2 linked regions of the Schizosaccharomyces pombe genome follow. The protein of the gene in region 1 interacts with the protein of each later gene in a pairwise test. Each region holds a gene or a part of one and is shown on either strand. Other genes may lie near its edges. The genes, in order: sec62 and sws1.

Region 1 (16,518 bases):
GACATCAATCGGTACATGCGAATGATATCCTCACTGCAGTTTTGGTCGAGCATGCGTGCAAAGTCGTTGTGCAAAACTTCTTCATGTTGTGCAATTAGTACATCTTCAGTCGCTTCTAAAAGCGGCTTCAATGTGGATTCATGCAAATATAATCTCACAAGCTCTTCCTCCTCTGCTAGTCTTATTTCTGCCTTTTTTAAGTAATCCGTAATAGAATGGGAAGCCAAGTATTCGGAAGACTCCTTTGCATAAAAGTTTTTTGTATTTTCAATAAAGTTTGTTTCGAAAAAAGTTTTGTATGAGCTCAAGTTAGGCTTTGTCATATCGGTTTTATCAAAGCTCAATGAAGTGATAGAATCCACACAAACTTCCACATATTTCATATCAGTAGGTTCATATAATCTTTTTTTGGTGAACATGTATAACAAATTTTGAAGTAGGCTATCGCGAATGTGGGAAAAAACGTGATGATGCCATGACACAAGACAAAGTGTGTAAATGTCGTACACGAGTGTCTCAGTAAATCTGTTCTTCAGTTTAACCCAATATCTATTTAAATATCCAAAAAGATGGTTGATAAAACGGGCAGATGTTGTAAATCGCGTCCAATACTTGGCATACGCAGCGAGTTGCTCTTCATGATTCGTTTGCGAAATGCATTCCTAAAGCGCCAATTAGCACGAGAAAAATTACCACATAATGCAATTTATTCCTTAATCATAATAAAAGACCAGATGCTTATGCTAGCACTCTTTAAAATGTCCAGAGAAAATGTTTAGAAATTAAAGAAAACTGCTGAACACTCGAGGTGCAATGAAATCTTTGTCGTAGAATTATAAATAAAAAACCGATATTTAAACTCACCTTTCGCAGACGGGCCAAATACTCTTCCAGATATAGAACCAAATTATTGTAAAGGGCTTCGCCTAAAACGTTTGCAGCTAGCACATACAGTTAGAATCCAGTGAAAATAATCATAAGAAAATATATGTAGTTCTTCTTTTTGACAAATTCTGAGTCAAAATATAAATTTTTATCTATTTTTTACGTACTTTGATCGTTGAAATTGTCCACCGTTATAGTTTTGGACGCATCAGCACAGTAGTTATGGATTGCTCTAAAAATAAAGTATGTAAGTATATAAATATAGGTGCCATGAAATATCTGATAACTAATATACTAGTATTCAGATCTCAAAATATTGGACTAACTTACGTATAAAGCTCCATATACTTAGTGATAGTCATTCCTTCATCTAGCCTTTCAAATATTTGGGACACACCTGTTTTTAAAAAGTCCCAACTGCATATAGATCAGCAATCGTCAATCAGTTACAATGTAACATACGTTCCATTCAATGAATCATATTTTTTAACAATCGGGAGGTCTTTATCGTTGGTATTCAAAGTAGTCATTAACCAAAATGGTTATAAATGTATAACAAGTAAAATATATTTTATTCAGCACACAATTGCTCTTTCTTAGATGGCAGATAGAGTAAACGTAGTAAATAGTAGCACTGATCCTTTCAAGAACCTACAGGTAACGACGAAGTGAACGAAGGTACAAGAGGTAGCCAGGTGTACGTAGCAAAAGCTCATTATAAAAGTGCTTTATAAGATTATATTTAATATCTAATTTTTTTTTAAGTAAATAATTATTATATTAAAAAATTCTTCATTAACGCATTTATTATTATGAAAACAAAGACATAAAGCCAATATTTATCAACATATACATGAATATGCCAAAGAAATCCTTTAAATTTGAGTTATTGTTCTGCCAAAAGAATGATGTATGCGATCCGCTGGATATTGAGTGCTCGATGCAAATACACATATGGTGTAAAAGATATCTCTGACAAGTGTATAGTAATATTGTACTAAATGAAAATCTCAAACCCATGAAATATTTACAAATGTTGAAAAGGGTTTAATTTGGACCTCAAATAGGTTGACATTTTCAATGTGGCCAACATAACAGGATGCTCTTTCATAGATGTTGTAAAACAGAAATACTTTTCCTTCTCTTTCTCAAACGCGCTACAAATTACCTCTTCATACCATCTTTTGAGCACCGCCATCTATTGTTTACCATCAGAGCCTCATCCTCAAACAATTCTGAGTGCCGTTAACGGTAGCCAATTCCTAAGTAAAATTGTCGCAAAATGTTGATGCATCAAAAGCGGCCTCAAATTGAACTTTTTATCATTTACCTACTAAAATAAAAGTAATAGAATGCGCTTGGATACGCACGTTTGGAGTCTGCTTTCTATATTCACTTAGGAACAGACGAATTATTATTAATTCTGAATAAGACCAAAAATTATTCTCAATTTCATAACTAATTAGCTTCCTCCTTTATCACTTAAACTTGCTTGCTTTATTTTTTTTATTTTTTTTTACAATTTAGGTGTTTTTATATTCGTAGAATGGCAATAATGAGTTGAAAACATTCCATTCTTCGCTAACCACCTTTCCCCCTTTAACGCGTGGCCAGCATTGTTCTACTTTGCTCACTTGACTATTTACTTACATATTTTTTTGTTTAGTATTCCAATACAATCAAAATATCTGTAATTTGTTGAGATTCTTTCTAAAAAACAAACATAATATCTGTTTCTCTCTTTTATTTGCTATTATATCCCATTTTCTCCGTTTTTATGAACCTTGAACCTTCAAGTTTCTATGTAATTATTCAATTTCAACATAAGAAACTCTGCAAAAAAGCTATTTACATCACTGCTTCGTCTTTTGAATTCCAAAATTTTTTCTAGAAACTATCCGCTCATCTTTTCTTTGCAATCCATCATCAATTTCCACACTAATAGTCAAGAGTGTTTATATACTGTGATATTAAGAGATATATTTTAAAGTAGTAATCCATAGTCATTATACAATCTTCTTATTATTTTAGGCCTTTCTTCTTTCTTTTGATTTCTCTCTCCATAATTTTATCTTAATCGACTTTTTCTCAGTTATCTTATTGGGGGAGGATAACTAACCTTTGTCTCCAGTATTTACTTAAAATTTCGTTATAAATAAGCTAGTTCAGCTTGTGCTATTCAAACCGCTGTCTTTCTGCTTTCCTGTTTTTTTCTGTAAACAAATCCTCTTTTTTCTCAAAAAAAAAAAAAAAAAAAGAAAATACTTGTTTTATGAACTGACCAAACTTTATTTCAAAAAAGTTACTTGGACTTTTAAGTCATTAATTTGGCTTTTGTTTTTAATTTTTTTTTCAACACTTGGAAGGTTAACTATCCATTTTAAAATCCTGTTCCTTTTATTAATCTGTAAAAAGAATACCTAGTTGTTCTTTCATTCAAGTCTTTTTAAACTTCCGCCGACTTTGCCTCGCTATTGTCCGCAAACAACCATTTGGAGTTTGCCTAGTCCTATATACTACCTTTCCGTATTTCCACCTTGGTGAGGTACACCAGCGTTCCAAAATCGCTACAAGTATTCATTCTTTTGTATTTATTTTTTAAATACTTTGTGCGTTTACGCGAAAAGTGCTTTCGAGCACTTTACAAGAAAAAGGAAAATTTTCAAGTGAATTAGCTTTCGTTCTCGAGATTGAGGCTCATCATCTTTTTCCTTTAGATTCTTTTTGTTTTTTGTTTAACGTTTTTTTTTTTTTTTTACTTGCTGGAAGTATTTTGAAGACTATTTGCTGTCACAACTCAGCGAAGACTTTTTGTGGTTACGTGTCTAAGCGCGAAATCTTCTTTAACTAAGCTTTCTTTTCATTCATTTTTGTTCTTCTTTCTTGGGATTTAACTGGTTTCGTTGGATTTATCATGTATAATGTACGTGGCGATTTAAATCGCAAAACCCCTTCGGATGGTAACGTGAATGAGATTGGTTCTATGTACGCTTCGAGAGACACCAGTACTTCTTCTTTCACAAATCCCACCGATTCCTCTACTCGTCTGTTGTACAACAATGCCTCCAACGCTACATTTAGCAGTGCAGCCTTGGCAGCCGGTGTCGGCGGAACAAGAGCTAGTGGCTATACCCATAGATTCTCTATTAGACCCAGCTCTCAGACATATAATAGATATCCTAACGGTGGAAATAGCGCAGGATCAGATATGTATTCTACCTCACCTCAAAACAATAGCATAGTTGATGATATTGAAAATATTAATAAACTGGAGGCTGTTGCTTTTGCCGGTCCTACCGCTGGTGAATCCGACTTTTCTTTGAGTAGAGAAGATAAAGAAATTGACGATTTTCTCCATTATCCTTTGCCCGCTAAAGATGCTAAAAAGTTAAGTTATTTCGTAGGCGGAGAAGGATTAATGCAACTCTTGTTTCTTCTCTTTTTAGCTGCTGGGACAGGTATGCTGTTTATTGGATTACCCATTCTTACATACACGGGCCATAACTCACTTGCTAGTACTCGTGTTACTGGTATTACAAATCATCAATTTCGGATTTTACGTTTATTACGTTATGGAAGCTTGATAGATCCTGATACCCCCGAAAGTGCTTATACGTTTGATTCTCAGGATTTAGGTACTCTGGATCTTGTTTTTTCTGATGAATTTAATTACCCTGGTCGTGCATTTTATGACGGCGATGACCAATTTTGGTTAGCAACTGACCTTCATTACGCTGCAACTACCGATTATGAATACTACGACGCTGATACGCCCACTACGGCAAACGGAACACTTCGTCTTCGTATGGATGCGTTTTACAATCATGATCTTAATTTCCGTAGCGGCATGGTTACCACCTGGAATAAATTATGCTTTAAGGGTGGTAGAATCGAGGTATCTGCATCCTTAGGAGGCTCCCCTTATATTCCTGGTTTTTGGCCAGGTATTTGGACTATAGGTAATTTGGTTCGTCCAGGATACCTTGCAACATCTGATGGCGTCTGGCCTTATTCTTATAATTCATGTGATGCCGGAATTACTCCTAATCAGTCGGATCCTAGTGGCATTTCATATTTGGGTGGACAACGCTTAAACCAATGTGTTTGTAAGGGTGAAGATCATCCCAATGTTGGTACAGGTCGTGGAGGACCTGAAATTGATGCCTTGGAAGGTACATTCGGCAGTGGTATTCCTTACAATGGATCTATTTACTTGGAAACCATGCCTGTCGTTTCTCAATCAGCACAATATGCTCCTTTCGACCTCTATATGTATCCCAATTACGATTTCGTTACCATCTACAATCAAAGTGTTTCAGCAATGAACGGTTGGGCCGGTGGTGTTTATCAGCAGGCTTTGTCTTGTGCTAGTCAATTAAATAATTCTTGGCTTAGCGGTAATGCTTATCAAAAGTATGGTTTTGATTATAAACCTGGAAGTGGTCCGGATGCGCTTATTTCTTGGTTTGTTGGTGATGAGTATACATGGACAATGCGTCAACCAGCTGTGGGCCAAAACGGAAACATAGCTTCTCGACCTGTTAGTGAAGAACCCATGATCGTCGTCCTTAACTTTGGTATTTCTCCTACTTGGATTTATTTTTATTGGTACGAATTAACGTTTCCTCAAACAATGTATGTGGATTATGTCAGAATTTATCAAGACTCTTCTGATTCCAGTAGCGTGCTTGGTTGTGATCCTGAAGGTTTCCCTACTACTGAATATATTGCGAACCATCCTAAAGCCTACCTAAATTATAATGCAACCAGTTGGTCAGAAGCAGGATATGTTCGCCCCAAAAACTCACTCATGGACGGATGTTGAAAAACTTCATTTTAATGTAAGGATTGCGAAATCCATATTAAGCGGCATTTTGTCTTCATTCTTTATTTCTTTTCATTTACTTTCATAGAGTTTCACATAAACCATTAGTTAGTCCCTTCTTTCTTTTCTCTCAGTTCTTTCATTTGTTGCATAATTTAACATACGACACAAAGGATTTACACAACGTTTGAGCTGACCTTACTTTCAAAATTTGATAACAACTGGTATATACTAGTACGTTAAAATTGTTGCCCTTAGAATGCTATAGCTCTCTAGTCAATCTATCAATCAGCCGAATGTTAAGAGATCAAGCTGAATAGCCCGAACTTGGGCCGCAAAAGTTGAGTAAACTAGATATGTCAAAGACATTAAGATAAGATAAAAAAAAAATTCATTTAAATAAAAGCCTAATAAATTTTTATCCGATAAGCATATTAGTTGAGATTATTAAGAAGGACTCATAGAAGAAGCTGGGATAACAGAAGTTTCAGCGGAGCTTTGAACTGGTAGACCATTTGCGGCAGTATCCTTCGATTGTAGTTGTTGCTCTATTTTTTTGCGGGCATTTTGACACTCTCGTTTCATATACAATTTTTCCCTATAAGTTGCCTGTGCAAAGGCATCTAATTCTTGGGATTTAAGACGAATGTGCTGATCAAGATAATCAAAATGAGATAACTTGGATTCAATTAGCTTAATTTGCACGTTAACAGAATCCTTTATAATAGAAGCCATTTTCTTTTCTTCATTAGTTAGATATAACTCTGATAGACTATCAGAGTCCTCCAATGATTTACCATTCATCTCGACATCATAACTTTCTGACTCTGGTTTGGGATAAACCGATTCACCTTTAACTTTATCCGACTCCTCCTCTTTTGCGCTGCTTTTCTGTGTGAAAGAAGAAGGTGGTACCATTTTGGCTAAGAAAGAGACTACGGATAAAATAGGGTTCTTCCCCTGCAAAGAATCAACCACAGGATTGGTATGCACTTTGTCCATTTTAAATAAAGCTTTGTCGGAAGAAGGAAGATTAAGGAATTTCAAAATACACTCTTCAACACTTTTTGTGTTCACATGAGAAGCAACCTTTGCCCAGTCGTCACTATACATTTCCACTCCCTCTGACAAAAGAACAAGTTCTTGTGCAGTCCATGTATCATCATCTTCAATTTTATTTTGTATTGCGACCTCCTTATAATCAGCAATTGTGGTCGGTGAAGGAAACCGATTTTGTTGGTAGCAACTTATACAAACGTTATATTTTTGGGCCGTTTGAGATTGGTAGTAACTTTCATTAAATTTATTACCGCAACAGTAACAATGCTGTGGAGAATCTGACTGATCAATGTTGTTTTCATGAAGGTTCGAAAGGCTTGGTTTTTGATTCGGAGTTGAACCCTTACCTTTTAAGACATCGTCGAGAGAGGGATCATAAATATTTGTTCGGACAATCGAAGGATCTTCAATGGTAACAGCTTTGGAACGAGGAATTGAAGAAGAGGGAGGTGGAAGAAGTGGTACCAATCCACGAGGAGTATCAGCAAGGATTTGGAAATGACTTGTGGAAGGGGGACCTATTTTCGAAGGCCGAGTATCGGGGTTAACGTTATAGTTGATTAATCCCCATTGCTCTAGAAATCTATGGACACGCAAGACAGCACATACATCACCAGCCAAATTCCTTCGGCAAGCCGTGAAAGTCAAATAAACTTTGGAGTTCAATCGAAAAGTACTAATCATAAAATCTCGGTATTCCTTATATACCTCTGGTGTTTTCGACGTATTTTTTCCATCAAAGAACTCAGGGTTTTGTTTTTTCTCAATTTCGTGAACTTTAGAGAAATCAAACCATTGCGCCCACTCAGGGACTTCTACTTGTGGTAACTGGCTCAACAAAAATTCTTTGGCCTCGTCTCTGACTTCTGGTTCAGTGTCCTCCTTTTTAGAAACATCCAATTCCATTGGCTGAGCAGAATCTGGTACCCCGTTTTCGTGTAAGTCATGTTTATTTTCAGTAACGTTGGACATTGTGGTGTTAGAGTCTAGTATAATATTTACAAAATCCTCAACGCCAAGGGCTTTAAAAGCTTCACGTCAATAAAATGCACTTAATCAACGAAAAATAATATGTATTACCCTATATGATTGAGGGATACCTTGAAAATTCAAGTTTTTTTAAAATGCCCTGCAATTAGTAGGTAGTGGGAGTTGACTTAGAATGACGATGTCTGGTTAACGAAATATACAGCAAACGCACTATACACTAAAGAATTGAGAAAATATTCAATATGGAAAGTAAAATTTATTGATATGAAGTTAAATATCATATGATATGATGACAATTTATACCATGAATATTAGTGAACTTGTAATTATAATCACTCCTATGTGATCAGCCAACTATAGTAAGAATGCACTCCTTGTGTCATGAGGAAATGCTATACTAGCTTTAAAAGGAGAAAAGCAAGCTAAGAATCTAGTAATTTCGCTCAAATGTGTTATAAATTGAGATTAAAAGAATAAGGGAATTATCAAACCACCTACCAGGAGTGGTACATAAATTAAAACGCTTCATATAAATGGGTTAAGCAAGAATTGTGTGTCAATAAGAGTAAATATTCATTGACTGACAAACTTGCCGTAATTAAAATGCGTAACAATAAGAAACACAAAAGAATTTAGTGTCCTCATTTAGTATATACTGATTATATATGTATACGTTTGGGCATAAAATGAGAACGCCAAGGTTTCTTGGAAAACACATTTAGAATCTCAAAGAACCTTTCTCCGAAAACATAGACGAAATAAATTGTATAAGGAGAATTGATAACGTAAAGATATGCACTATTTTTTTTTAAAGTAAGTAATAGTGGCTGAGTGACTGGATTCATCAACGGTACAACAATTAATTTTTATTCAGAGACTTCTTCGACGGTAGGATTTCTGTGCCTTAAATTCTTTAAAGAAGTGGTGGACGTAGAAGACTTTTCAGGAGTTGCAGAAGCAGCTGGTGAAGTGGCTTTTTTTGACAATTTCTTGGATTTCCTTGTCTTCTTTACCTCAGATTTGGAATTGTGCCAACTCCATAAAGGTTTAAAGCTATCACAGAAGCCAACGTCGGCAAGAAGATTGGGGAATAGCCAAATGCCAGGGCGCACGATGACAGCAGTAATGCAAAATAAGAAAAAACGTAAAATAACCAAAACAAAGAATAGACCGATTACTCCAAGGCCTCCCATACTTAAATACCAAGCACCCTTGCGCATAAACATTGGCCACAAGGGGAACAAAACGAGTGCCAATACGACAAGAGCGAACAGTACTGCCAAAGCCATAACGCGTTTTGGAAGAGGCTCGTAGAGCCAAACATAATGCATATCGTCTTGAAAATCTTGATTACGATTTATCTGTAATTCTACAAGCTTCTGCTTTCTTTGTTTAGGGGGGAGTTTATCAACGCGAACCAGCATCGAATTCATAATGAGCAATTTGAGAACTTCGATTGCTTCCTCACGGCTTGAAATTTCTGGAAACCCTTTGTATTTCTTAGGCGTATACGCTTCGGATGTTAAAAAGCGAAGAACACGCTTCACACGAAAGTAGTATACACGTTTTCCATTGAGGATCGCTGGCTTTGTTTTCAGCTCAGGGCGAGACTTGAGGAAGTTTGTAAAGCGCATCGAAAACTTGCACTTGTCTTCATCCTTCAAAACTGGTACATTAGAAGAATCCATAGGCAAAATCCTTGTTTGGAAAAATCTAAAATAATGTGGTTCTGGAGTAGATGAAGTCTGTACACGTCTTTAAGGTAACGATATTTAGGTCACGAGGTAAAGCCAAAATCAAAATTCAGTATTATAGATTTGGGAAAATCTATATTATAAATTTTACATTTAGTTTAATCATTGTTATTATCATGCTGTCGAATATTGATTCATTCTTTAAGTAAATTTGTAAAGTTGGATAGTTCAAAAAGTTAATTCAGTCTTAAATTTTTGTGCCTGTGCCCCATATTCATAACTTAATTATACTATAACACTTGAAAAAAATATTTGATTATTAGGGAGAGTAAAGCACTGATTAAGGAATACTAATCTTCAGAAGTTAACTCTAAAAAAGATGCTCTTCCTATTCAACTTAATTGATAACATTCATTGCTGTTCGACGAGGAAAGCAAAGTCTTCAAATTCATTTCATCAATAAATATTTATCTATACAATTATTCACTCATCCATCATATGACTAACCTTCGCAACACATTAACTAGGAAATTTTGATTACATAAAAGTGAAACAGCATCATTAAACAAGTCAAATTTCCTTTATTGAAAAAATCCTCAAATATCAAAAAGATCCAAGTCATGAATCTTTTCAGTGATTGAATGAATTTCCTCATGCAAAGGTGCAAGACTGGAGAGTAAAGTCTCTACCTCAGAAAACTTTCGTTTCGCTTTAGCATCTTCAATCATATTTTCAACGAGGAAAACTTGCTCCTCTAAAACTATTCTTGTTTGCATCAACTCTTCTTGCTTCTTTTCAACTTGCTCTTTCTTCTTTTCTAGCTCACGTTCAGACTCAGAAGTCCAAGCTTGGCCAACCTGCAAATGGTAAGGAATGGCCTGCAAACGCAATATGGTTTCTTGTAAATATCTTTTTGCTTCATTAACAACATTCTGCTTAAATTGTTCTTCAGCATCATTGGATGAGGGATGATTGGCGATTTTTTTCATAGTTCCATCATATTTCACACATAGCTCAAGAAATTTTTTTCGTCTATCTTTTACTATTTTCAGGGTCGCTTCAGTGATTATTTCACCACTTAGTAATTCAGACAAAGAATCCTCGTAAAGTCGATAGTAATTTACCATAGCCTGTCTAAAAACTTGCAAGTGTTCAATATGTCGGATGTAGCCAAGTGATTTCGATCTTTCCGTTTGATAAAGAACGTTACGGAAATAATTTTGATTGCAACTCATACAGATGAGGAGAGGTTGCGGGTGTTGAGGAAGACTAATCTCTAATACACAGAATCTGCAGATCACGCGTCCGCAAAGCCGACAATGCCGGCGTCTTCTAGTTAGAGTAAAAGAATTGTTGCATTCAGGACAAATTTGTACAACGGAATCATCTTGCCAATGAACGATGCTTTGCTCCAGCCTTTTAGCCTTGTTCAAAAGAAGCGCATCAAGCATCGAGACATTTTCCGATGTCCATAGCTCTTCAAGTTTTTTCATACGTTTGCTTAATCTTAAAAACTCTATTCTTCTTTTATCAGCTAAAGGTTTTCGAAAAGTTTCGAATGTTTGAAAACGTGAGCGAATTAAACCATTTGAATCATTATACCCAGGACGTCCTTCATAACATTCTCGACAAACACGACACCAAAATCCATTTTCAGAGTCGTAGGTAGCATGAATACTGAGTTTGATCTGGTACATTGAGTGAAAGTTGCAGAAGATATAACCGCATTTACGACAATGAATATGACCATTGATGAAATTTAAAAGCTTATCACACATCGGGTCATGGCAGACCATGTCAGGAACCTCTGGTTGCCAGTGATTTTTGACAACCAAGGAATCTGTGAGCTTAGTTGCTTCAAGGCCGACAGCACCTGATGAATCCCCATTCTGTTCATATGGTTCCATTCTCCAAAGACGTTGAGCGGCTTTCATTTGCAGAGCTGAAGCACCATTTAAAGTCCTTGTTAGCCATGAATTAATGGAATCTTGTCGCTTGTGGATTTTTTCATTATCATTGAAATGAGTAACATCGAGATGATCATTTAATGCTGACAAATTTGGTAATTCCAGCCCACAAATTGGGCATTCAGTGGCTTTAACGATATTTGAAGAATCACTTTGAGCACTAGTAGAAAGATTAGTCCCGGAATGATTGCTCAAATTGGAAGAAATTCGGACTCCAATACGTCTTTTACCATTTTGCATAGTAATCCCTCTGAACTTGATTTTTAGACGAGAATTTCAGGCAATTGAAGCCTTTTCAGTGGCTATATAATTAAAAGTAGCTAAAGTTTATAAATTATTATTACACAGAGCTTGCTCTTGCAAAGGTGCTGAATTCGCCTGACGGTAAGAATTATCACTGTTAGAAGAGTAGACAACTGGTTAACCTGGTGGAATGCTAAACACAGAATAAACAAACATTAGAAATTTAATAAATTAAGTTGTTTAAAATAAAATTATGAGAGATTCTAAAGAAATCACAAATCCTCTGATCAAATAATTAAAGAGTTAGACTGCAATTTTGTTTAATTTTCAATTCAGGAAAACATCCGGTCTGAATAAATTGAAATAACGACAAATGGAGTTACAAGGTATGTAGTCTTTAGCAGTGCTTATTTAAATAAGAAGAAAGATCGCTTTATCAAAAATCTAACACGAAGGCAGCCTGGTCGTCTTTGCGTACTATAAGTGTTATTTCAAAATTTGCCAATGCAATGGCAAGGAATGCAACTCAAGATCCTTGCGTTTTTAAAGATTCTGTCAAGTTTATTTACAACATATATCCTCCATGACTTGAAATATATAGTAAGGTAAATACGCTAATGTTTATTGACACCTTTAAGTTAAGGCATTACGGTTCATGCAATTCTTTTAACATAAGGATTATTAAGCTTCTCATACTTCATTAGATTGAGATTAAAATAGCATTTTATAGTCAAGGCACTTGGTACAAAAATACGTATTCAAAGAGAAATACGGTTTTAATTAAATGTTAGTACATCCTTATAAATGAATAATATATAAAATACTATAATCGTCTACTCTGAAACCCAAAATACTCATACAAGGTGAAAATTAGTATGTGTATAAGATGACATGCACCTGATAACCTACTCAACTCAAACTACTTATAAAATATCAGGAACCCCAGTTTAAAGCGCTTTACATAACTTTCTTTATAGGAGAGAGATATTCTTATGAAATGCTCACTCCATAGGCTTTAAAATGAGTAAAGATTTGATCAGTAGGTTGGAGCGACAATTCAAGTTGAAACGTGATGAGTTTCAAGACCCATTGGAACTTTTAAAATTTGAAAAGAATCTTGATTATGCAAGGAAATTATTATGGGAAGAAGGAAAATGCCAACTTGACAAAGTTGCTGAACCTCAAGGGCTTTCGAAGAGAATCATGGATTTACAGGGTAGGATTTATGATTTAAATGTTACCATGGAAAAAAAGCTGAAAATTGAAGAGAAAAAGATAAAAAGTAAACAAGAGAAGGAGATCGCGCATGCTCTTCAGAGTATTCAAGAAAGGGAGCTTAGAGAGCGACAACAGATGTCGAATGTCGAAGCTTCCAATGCCCAATTGCTCACAAACCAGCGTTCAATGCAAACTGAGATATCTGAGTCACTTTTGCATTTGGCATCTGTTCTAAAAGAAAACGCTTTATCTTTCACAAATGCTCTAGTAACTGATAATCAAGTGGTAGAGCGTACAGGAAGCTTACTCGACAAGAATGCCCACAGTCTGAGACATGCCAACCACGGTGTTCAAAGCTACTCTAAGTCAAAAAGGCTGTCTTTTTGGCTACAGTTAGGAATGATCATTGCTGTAGTTGTTTCTTTTATCGTGATGATCTTTATCCTACAGTTTACCAAAAATCAAAATTAATTATTTTATTTTCGTAAAGAATTCTCGGACTGCTTCCTTTTGTTGATAAATTTTTTTCCCCTTAAGTTATCGCAGTGGTAACAGTACACCCGTTTCTTTTTAATATACATTTTGATACACAACCATTATTGTTGTTTCAAGTTGTTTTCTTACTCGAACGTATTCATGTTTTTTTTGTATTTGAGATCAATGCGTAGATGATATAAGTAAATTGAATAACCAAAGCATACGCAATTTACCATTGTTTTATTTCATTTAACCTTTTTCCAACAGCTGAGTCAATATTAGCCCATTCCTTTATCAATTGACACTGCCCTCAACTCTTATGTTTTTAGTAAATAAGAAACAACATCATTACATTACAAAACTATTAAACTATCATAAAATACAACATATACCGCATGTTCAAAAATTATTATATTAGAGATCAAACTCTAGTTATTGAAGATTATTTACTTCATTCACTACTGTTCACACGAAAGCTGAACAATATTATTTTAGGCAACACGTAATTAAATCCGTTCGAATACAACAATGCATTTCCATCAAGTGAATACATCTCATTACTTTATGAAAATTATTTTTCTGAACCAAGAAAAAATAAGATTGCCTAGTCTTGTTGCTTAGACTTGCGCTTGGCAAGACGCTTGCCAGTACCAAAGACCTTCTTGCCTCTGTTCTTACGTTGCTTGCGTTGTTGACGAGCAACCTTTTGGATAGGCTCGGCATGTCCAACACGGACAAGACGATAATGGGGCTCAAACTTCTTCATGGCCTCGACGTCGTCGTAAATCAATGCAAAACCAGTGGTTCTTCCACCACCATAATGGGTACGAAGACCAAATGCCTGGACAGCACTTGCATCAGTCTTGTACATTTGACCCAATTTTTCACGAAGATCGTTTTTGGAAATGTTGGCCTTGCCAGGATGCAAAATGTCGACCACCTAAAACGCCCTCATGTTAGTATATGCCACGTCTGATCGTAAAGAACTTATAAGCAAAAAAATACATACCATTTGCTTCCTCTGAAGCAAGCGGTTGGTCATAAACTTGCGAGTTCTGATTGTAACCGCCTCACTCATATTGGTCTTAATACAACTATCTAGCGCCCACGAATTCCAAAATTTTACCCCAAAGAAGGCAGTCACAAGATGTGGTACAAAGAAAGAATAGTGAATACTTGAGTAACTACACAAACAACGGTATATTGCTTTAAGGAGATCAAAGGGACTTGTAAATATAATAGAAAATTATGTAGGTATTCCTTCACTTGTCTTAACGAGGATTAGTGCATCGTTGGCTTGACTGAATTTAGTCAATTAAGTCAGCTTGTCGAGTGCATAGAACTATAGGGGCATTGGCTCTTTTATAAGGAATTTTAAAGGATGGAGAAACTTGCTACTCCTTTTTTTTACTTAAATAAAAAGGAAACAAAGCATTCAGATTGGGTTGAGCCATTTACTACGTTCGTATCTCGAATATATGGAAATAGTGTTGATGTCGAAGATCAAATTAAGGCGTTCAACACTTTGAGAGAAAACGCAGCAGACGTCGATGACACAGTTGCTGGTAAGGATATTTTGTATTCTTATTACGGACAACTTGACTATTTGTCTTTCCGATTTCCCACTGGTGGTAATGGAATCAACATTTCTTTTGAGTGGAGCGATATCTTAGATCCCGATGCAGATTTCGTCAAGCAATCTTCTCTTGCCTTTGAAAAAGCATCGGTTTTATTCAATTTGGTTTCATTGCTTTCCCGAATGGCTGCTAATCATGCATCTGCTTACACTGTGGATGATTATAAGGCGGCCGCCAATTGTTTACAATGCGCTAGCGGTATTGCCAAACTCTTACGCGAATCTTTCATTCATGCACCTGGAAGAGATTTAGATTCCAATTTTTTACTAGGTATTTACAATCTTTTCTTGGGTCAAGCACAGGAGTGTGTCTTGGGACATATGTCTTTTTCAGCTAGTGACTCTAACATGAACTATTCGTTGGCTGCAAAGATTGCTAGTTCGGCAGCTACTTTATATGATAGCTGTGTACACGCATTTGAATCTATGGAACCGGCGTGCAATCCCAATTTCATACGGCTTGCTTCTGCCAAAAAGGCCGCCCTTGAGGGATTTTCCTCTTATTTTATGGCACGCGCTCAGTTGGAAAAATCGAAACAAGGGCTTGCTATTGGATATTTACAACAAGCTAAGTCAATTCTTTCGTCTGCTCAAAAGTTATTCAATGGTATAAAGTTGAGTACTGATTTTATTCATAAGCCTAGTCTTTCTGACTATCCTCAGACCATTTCTACCTTCATCAAATCCTCCTTGTCTCATTTGTTAAAAACTGCTGAGAAAGATAATGACTTTGTGTTTCATGATCTTGTAGTCAAGGAAGTTGAGCTCCCAAAAATATCTCCTTTGCAAGCTCTACCACCACTTCCTTTAGAGAAATTGTATGGAAGTCAAGATGGATTTGAAACTGCAAAAAAAATTGTTGGAGATGATTTGTTCAAGGCCTTTGTGCCTAGCGCCGTTACGACCGCCAGTTCGCTGTATTCAGAGGAGACTGCCAAAGTGTTTCGCGCTGAACAAGCTGAAGTAGAACGACAAAACACCCAAATGGCAACGGTTTTCGCCTCCTTAGACCTTAGCCGGCTTCAAGAAATCACACATTCGGATTCCAAAACGAACTTTATTCCGAAAGAACTTATAGAAGCTCGTTCCCAACTTATTTCTTTTAATCCTACTTTTAAAATTCACGAGTTGTTTGCAAAATCCACAAAGTTGAAGCAAATTATAGCGAAAATTAAGAGTGACTTAGAAGTGGAAGCCAATGAAAATGCCAAGATGAAGGCGAAACTTGGACCCTCGTGGACGTTATCAGATAGCTTAGAGTTTGCCGCTCCTTATCAAAGTGAACTCAACAATTACTTGAAGACCTTGGCAGAGGCTTCCGCTACTGATTCCGCTATATCCCAACAATATGCTTTAGTAAAAGATGATGTAGAAACGTTGTGTAACTCTTCCAAAATTAGCGCATTACTAGAATCGTCCATTTCCTCAACTGATAATTCTGGTCAAAGCTTACTTGATATTCCTATTGAGCAGGAGGAGCAAGAGCGCGATATGAAAATACAGCTTGACTTGTTAGAAGAATTG
Region 2 (5,042 bases), on another chromosome or scaffold:
AAATAATCTTTTCAAGAATACTGTGTATAAACGGCTACAAAAAAATTATAATTAACATAATTAAAAATAAGAAAGGTTTTTTATTGATTCACTGCAGCTGCTATTAGCGATTTCATATACGATTATAAGCAATGAACTTAATAAGTCATTCAAAATTTCACCCAAAAAAAAAATGCTTTTAGGAAATCAATACTATACGAGTTATTTACTATGAAATAACTTTGATATCTTTTGTAATCAATGCTTTTTTCTCTGTGTTTACATATAAATTGTGTCATATAACCTGCTAACCCAAGTGACAGCGAGAGAGTAAGGTGATGATGGAGTTTTGCGCAGTCTCGCACTTTTACCAAGGACCAAGTTAATCTTGCATTCTTCATATTCGTAAGCATTGTTGAATGCCTGATTATATACTATGAGTCAAACAGAAATAGTTAAAAAACCAAAGCATAAGAGATTTAAGCGCCCGTAAGTTGTCTTGATTACATTCGTTTTTTGGCAAATTGGTTTACTGATCCGTATGTAGTGACAAATCTCGGTTTGTTCAGCAAACACTTCCTGCTTGGCAGTTTATATTCACACCATGGACAGTCTTGCCGTTATTATTCTTATTAGGCATAGTGTTTGCTCCTTTGGGAGCTGGCATGTTTGTGGCCAGTCGACGGGTAAGTCTAAGCATCACGCGTTTCCATAGAGCTATATGTTTCAAATTGATAAACTGGGTATATTTTGCAATACATTACTGTATTTTGGAAAGATATGATTATTTGCGAATAATTTTTATCTGATTATAGCCTTATCCTTTGTCGGTGTTAGCACACGTGTAGCCCGAACGTTACCGAAAATATCATTTTTTCTAGATCATTTGCTAATCAACATTTTATTAGGTCAAAGAGCTGCGAATTGACTATACTGATTGCATGAATATAGGCGATGAGTTTAAACAAGTTCCTTCCACGAATATTGAGTTCCAATATAAAAATGTAAAAAATGTAACAGCGATGTGGAAATCATCAGGCGATGTATGTACTCTTCGTTTCCAAATACCTGAGGAAATGACGAGTCCCGTGTTTGCTTTTTATCGTCTCAAAAATTTTTATCAAAACCATCGTCGATATACTGTTAGCGCCGATATGTTTCAGTTGCTAGGCGAAGCACGAACTGTTGCACAACTGAAGAGCTATGGTTTCTGCAAGCCGTTAGAAGCAAATGAGGAAGGGAAACCTTATTACCCCTGTGGCATTATCGCAAACTCGCTTTTCAACGATAGCTATTCTTCTCTTCTACGATACGAATCCTTTGATAGCTCAAATTCCCTTGGACTTTACAATATGACTACAAATGGTACTGCGTGGCCGGAAGATAGAGAAAGATACAAAAAAACTAAGTACAATGCTTCCCAAATTGTTCCACCTCCAAATTGGGCAAAAATGTTTCCCAATGGATATACTGACGACAATATTCCCGATGTTTCTACATGGGATGCCTTTCAAATTTGGATGAGAGCTGCTGCTCTTCCAACATTCAGCAAACTTGCTCTTCGAAACGTTACTACTGCACTTCAACCTGGCATTTATGAAATGAATATCACTTATAACTTTCCTGTCACAGAATATAAAGGAACGAAAACTATTATGTTTTCAACAACATCCGTTATTGGAGGAAAGAACTACTTTTTAGGAATTCTTTATTTTGTTATCGGTGGGCTCTGCGCCGCGAGCGGTGTAATCCTTAGTATTGCTTGCTTGATCAAACCTAGACGCGTAGGCGATCCAAGATATCTATCTTGGAATAGAGGAAAAAGCTCATAAACGAATTTGAGTATCTTTACCATTTATTTTTACATATACTACTTCATGAACATTTTGGAATTTACTTTCCATTTAATCACTTATGCTAGCTTCGTCTTCCACTTACAATATTCTCTTTTTTATACCAGTTCAGGGTTCATGAACTTGCATCATAACTAAAGCATAACATAATCTGAATAAGACATTTTTTTTTAATCACGTTGTATGAATATCATATCGTATTTTCTTCTTTTACATTGAGAAAGCAATTTAAACGGCCCTTACTGTTAAATATCATAGTCAAGTCACAATTAAACGAATTGGGTTAACGTTTTTTAAATTACCAGATTATGGCAAGCACGTAAAATCGAAGCAGCTAAAATATGGGAACAAATCGTAGGGTGGTGGGAAAGACATCTTCCACCCCAGGTTTCTTGCTCATTTTTGGGCATTGGCTCGTCAAAAGATCTCGAGCTATTAAAAGCATTGTAAGAGAATTGAGAGCATGAACAATACCAATACTTCAAATCAATCGTAGTTTTATTATTCGAATCCACTTCACATTCCCATCGATGTAAAACTTCACCATCGGTTAATGGTAGTGGATGAATGCTTTTAGAATCCAAAATCAGCATAGCAGGTTGCCAGTAGTTACAAAATATAAAACTTAATGACAACCACAAGCTTCCAAAATCCTGGTCTTCCAACAGTAATTTTGACAAAGAGGTGTTGGGTGACTGTTGGAGCGCTTTATCTTGTAAAGAATCTAATAAAGAGCTTATAACTGAACGAATAGTGGAAGAAGGATCTAAATCTTTGTTACACAATGCCTTGGAGAAACTATCATTGTCAACGCCTTCAACATCAGGATCATTAGTGTGAGAAAATTTTGAAGATACAGGTAGAGATGAACTATTTAAAGTTTTACTGTGGTAACTATTCGAAGTAAAATGACCCTGCTGCATTGAAGTTTATTAAGACTCAGCAATGCCCCAAAACATAAAGCTCAAACAACATCCAGAAAACACAATTGATGACAATGAAGATAATAATCTAATTTATTGACTTATGCTGACAAGTTTGGATGATTGAATAGGCTCTTCAAAAAGATTAGCAAATTCGTTTCAAAGTATCACTACTTCTTTGTTCATCAACTCTTACCAAAAGCAAAACAGCAAAAATCTGCTTTGCTTTCGCTTGTTCTAATAAGCGGAAAACACGTAGCAAAGCTATAAACTAATGAAGTTGTAAAAATCACAAATTCGAGGGGTGTCTTTGTTTGCTCTAGTCAAGTATAGAAGATACAAAGTAGAGTTTAATCGTTAAAATTTTTAACTCGTTTTATTTTTCTTAACTAATATTTGCGAAAATAAAGAAAAAGGAACGAACGTTTTACAAGTTAATTTAAGTCGAAAACACTATTTCGAGCAGTTTCAGGAAAACCTCAAAAATCGGTTAGTTACAAAGGTTTCATTACTTGGGTGAAATTTAAAAGTTTTATAAACCAATTTCAAACTTTTTTATCTTTTTAAGAAAGGTGTCGCATATTTTAAAGGCTCGTGAATGGCGAGGACGGCGTTTCATGATGAATTTGTGGATTATTACACCATCCTTGGAGCGGAAAGTACCAGTAGTTATGTCGAAATTCGACAGCAATATTTAAAGCTTGTTTTACGATACCATCCCGATCGTAACCCCGGTCGGGAAGCCGAGGTTCTTCCACAGTTTCAGTTGATACAAAAAGCTCATGAAGTTTTAAAGGATCCAAAGCTTCGAGAGTTATTTGATCAAAGAAGATTACTAGAAGCCGGTCGCCCTGATGGGGTGCTGCGATTCCGTCCAAAAAAAAGTGGACCAAAGAATGATATTTCCACGAAAGTTGCATCCAAGGTTAGTGTCACAATGGCTACCAAATTTGCTGAAAAAAAGAAGAAACAAGACCGGGAAAACGTAGATTCGAAAGATAACAATATCACAAACTTCTCACTTCATCGATCTTTTTCCGCTTCCGGAAAAATGGAAAAGAACAATAGCTTTAAAGAGGTATCTACCTCAAAAAGCTACATATCATCTGGTTATTTGCATCCAAAAACGTCTCCAATTTTTAAGAAGAATGGATATGCTACTGAAAACGTGGTGGATCCAATTTCTAGTAGTCCTCGTTTTAAAGGCCCTAACTATAATAAATTTAATGCCAAGTTGTATTTAGAATCGCTTCGTGAAAAGCGACGCACCTATACTCCGTTGTCTGAGATATCCAATGGTTTGAATTCCAATGGTGTTGAAAATTCTTCAATAACAAAATCCTCTCCAAGAAGTTCTTCTTCATCAAATAATGAACGTTTTAAAGATACATCTGAAGAATCTATTATTTTTACTTCTCCAAACACTCCAGAGCACCCATCCGTTTATCAAACTGATATCACACCTGAAATAAAACTTGAGCATTCTGATAATAATTCACCATCAAAACCTGAAATTCCATTTAGACATCCCACTTCTAAACCTTTACCCCCTAAGCCCTTAAGTCGTTCTAAATCTTCTTCTCTTTCTCGAAATCAAACTCGGTCTCAGCTAAATGACTTGTCCGCAGAGAACGATTCAACATCTAACTCGACTGAGTATGATGACCAGCTTCAGTCGATACTGAGATCCCTTGCCATTGAAGGGGATGATGATGAAGTTGCTAAAGTGCTGCCCAAACCTCCATCCGTTCCAACTATCCAGGCACCCATCCCTCCAGAGGCACCGAGAAACCTGACTAATGCCTCTGTAGATAGCTATCTAAATTCCTTTGAAATGTATCAGAGACGCTGGTCGTCTTATTCTATCATTTATACACAGTATGCATTTCAATGGCAAATCTTCAAAAATAAATGCTTCCAACTCGACTTAATGAATACTCCTGGACAATCACGATTAATTGATAATTGGAAGGAAGGGTCACAAGCTATACAGTTATTTTATGCATATGAACAAATGCATTTGAGAGCTTTGGAAGAACTACAATCTTTAAAGGAAAGCCTTTTCGCATCTTTTGGTATATAATGATTATTATTTCCTCATTAAGTATTAAATTTAGTATTAAAATTTTTATTTGAAAATTTTATTTCTTCTTCATAACGTTTAACATTCAATTTATTAATATTATTTTTTACCCAGTTCACTTACCCATACTTCAAGCATACACCAGAACCAACGACTTTGTAAAAAGGGCATGTGTTTAATAGCTTACTCAGGGAGCGAATTGTA

Evidence for each region.
Region 2: the proteins of sec62 (region 1) and sws1 interact in a two-hybrid assay, tested with the Schizosaccharomyces pombe proteins (one large-scale study listed by BioGRID).

The regions. Positions count from the first base shown.
Region 1 is NC_003424.3:3,597,021-3,613,538, reverse strand, and holds sec62 (translocation subcomplex subunit Sec62), read right to left. Parts: upstream 9,465-16,518; 5' UTR 9,448-9,464; coding exon 8,626-9,447; 3' UTR 7,994-8,625; downstream 1-7,993. Other genes in the region: cul1 (cullin 1), read right to left, coding at 1-662, 865-941, 1,053-1,117, 1,216-1,302, 1,348-1,415; ghs2 (glucosidase), read left to right, coding at 3,800-5,710; SWI/SNF and RSC complex subunit Ssr1, read right to left, coding at 6,158-7,741; FYVE tethering component Pep7, read right to left, coding at 10,050-11,660; SNARE protein Use1, read left to right, coding at 12,684-13,352; rps2401 (40S ribosomal protein eS24), read right to left, coding at 13,963-14,298, 14,368-14,436; bro1 (vacuolar protein-sorting protein), read left to right, coding at 14,740-16,518. UniProt on the Schizosaccharomyces pombe protein: Acts as a component of the Sec62/63 complex which is involved in SRP-independent post-translational translocation across the endoplasmic reticulum (ER) and functions together with the Sec61 complex and bip1 in a channel-forming translocon complex.
Region 2 is NC_003423.3:1,492,865-1,497,906, reverse strand, and holds sws1 (SWIM domain-containing Srs2-interacting protein 1), read right to left. Parts: upstream 3,078-5,042; 5' UTR 2,952-3,077; exon of another isoform or gene 2,890-2,951; 5' UTR 2,756-2,889; coding exon 2,126-2,755; 3' UTR 1,896-2,125; downstream 1-1,895. Other genes in the region: aminophospholipid translocase regulatory protein Ivn1, read left to right, coding at 416-468, 527-665, 888-1,811; random septum position protein, DNAJ domain protein Rsp1, read left to right, coding at 3,354-4,838.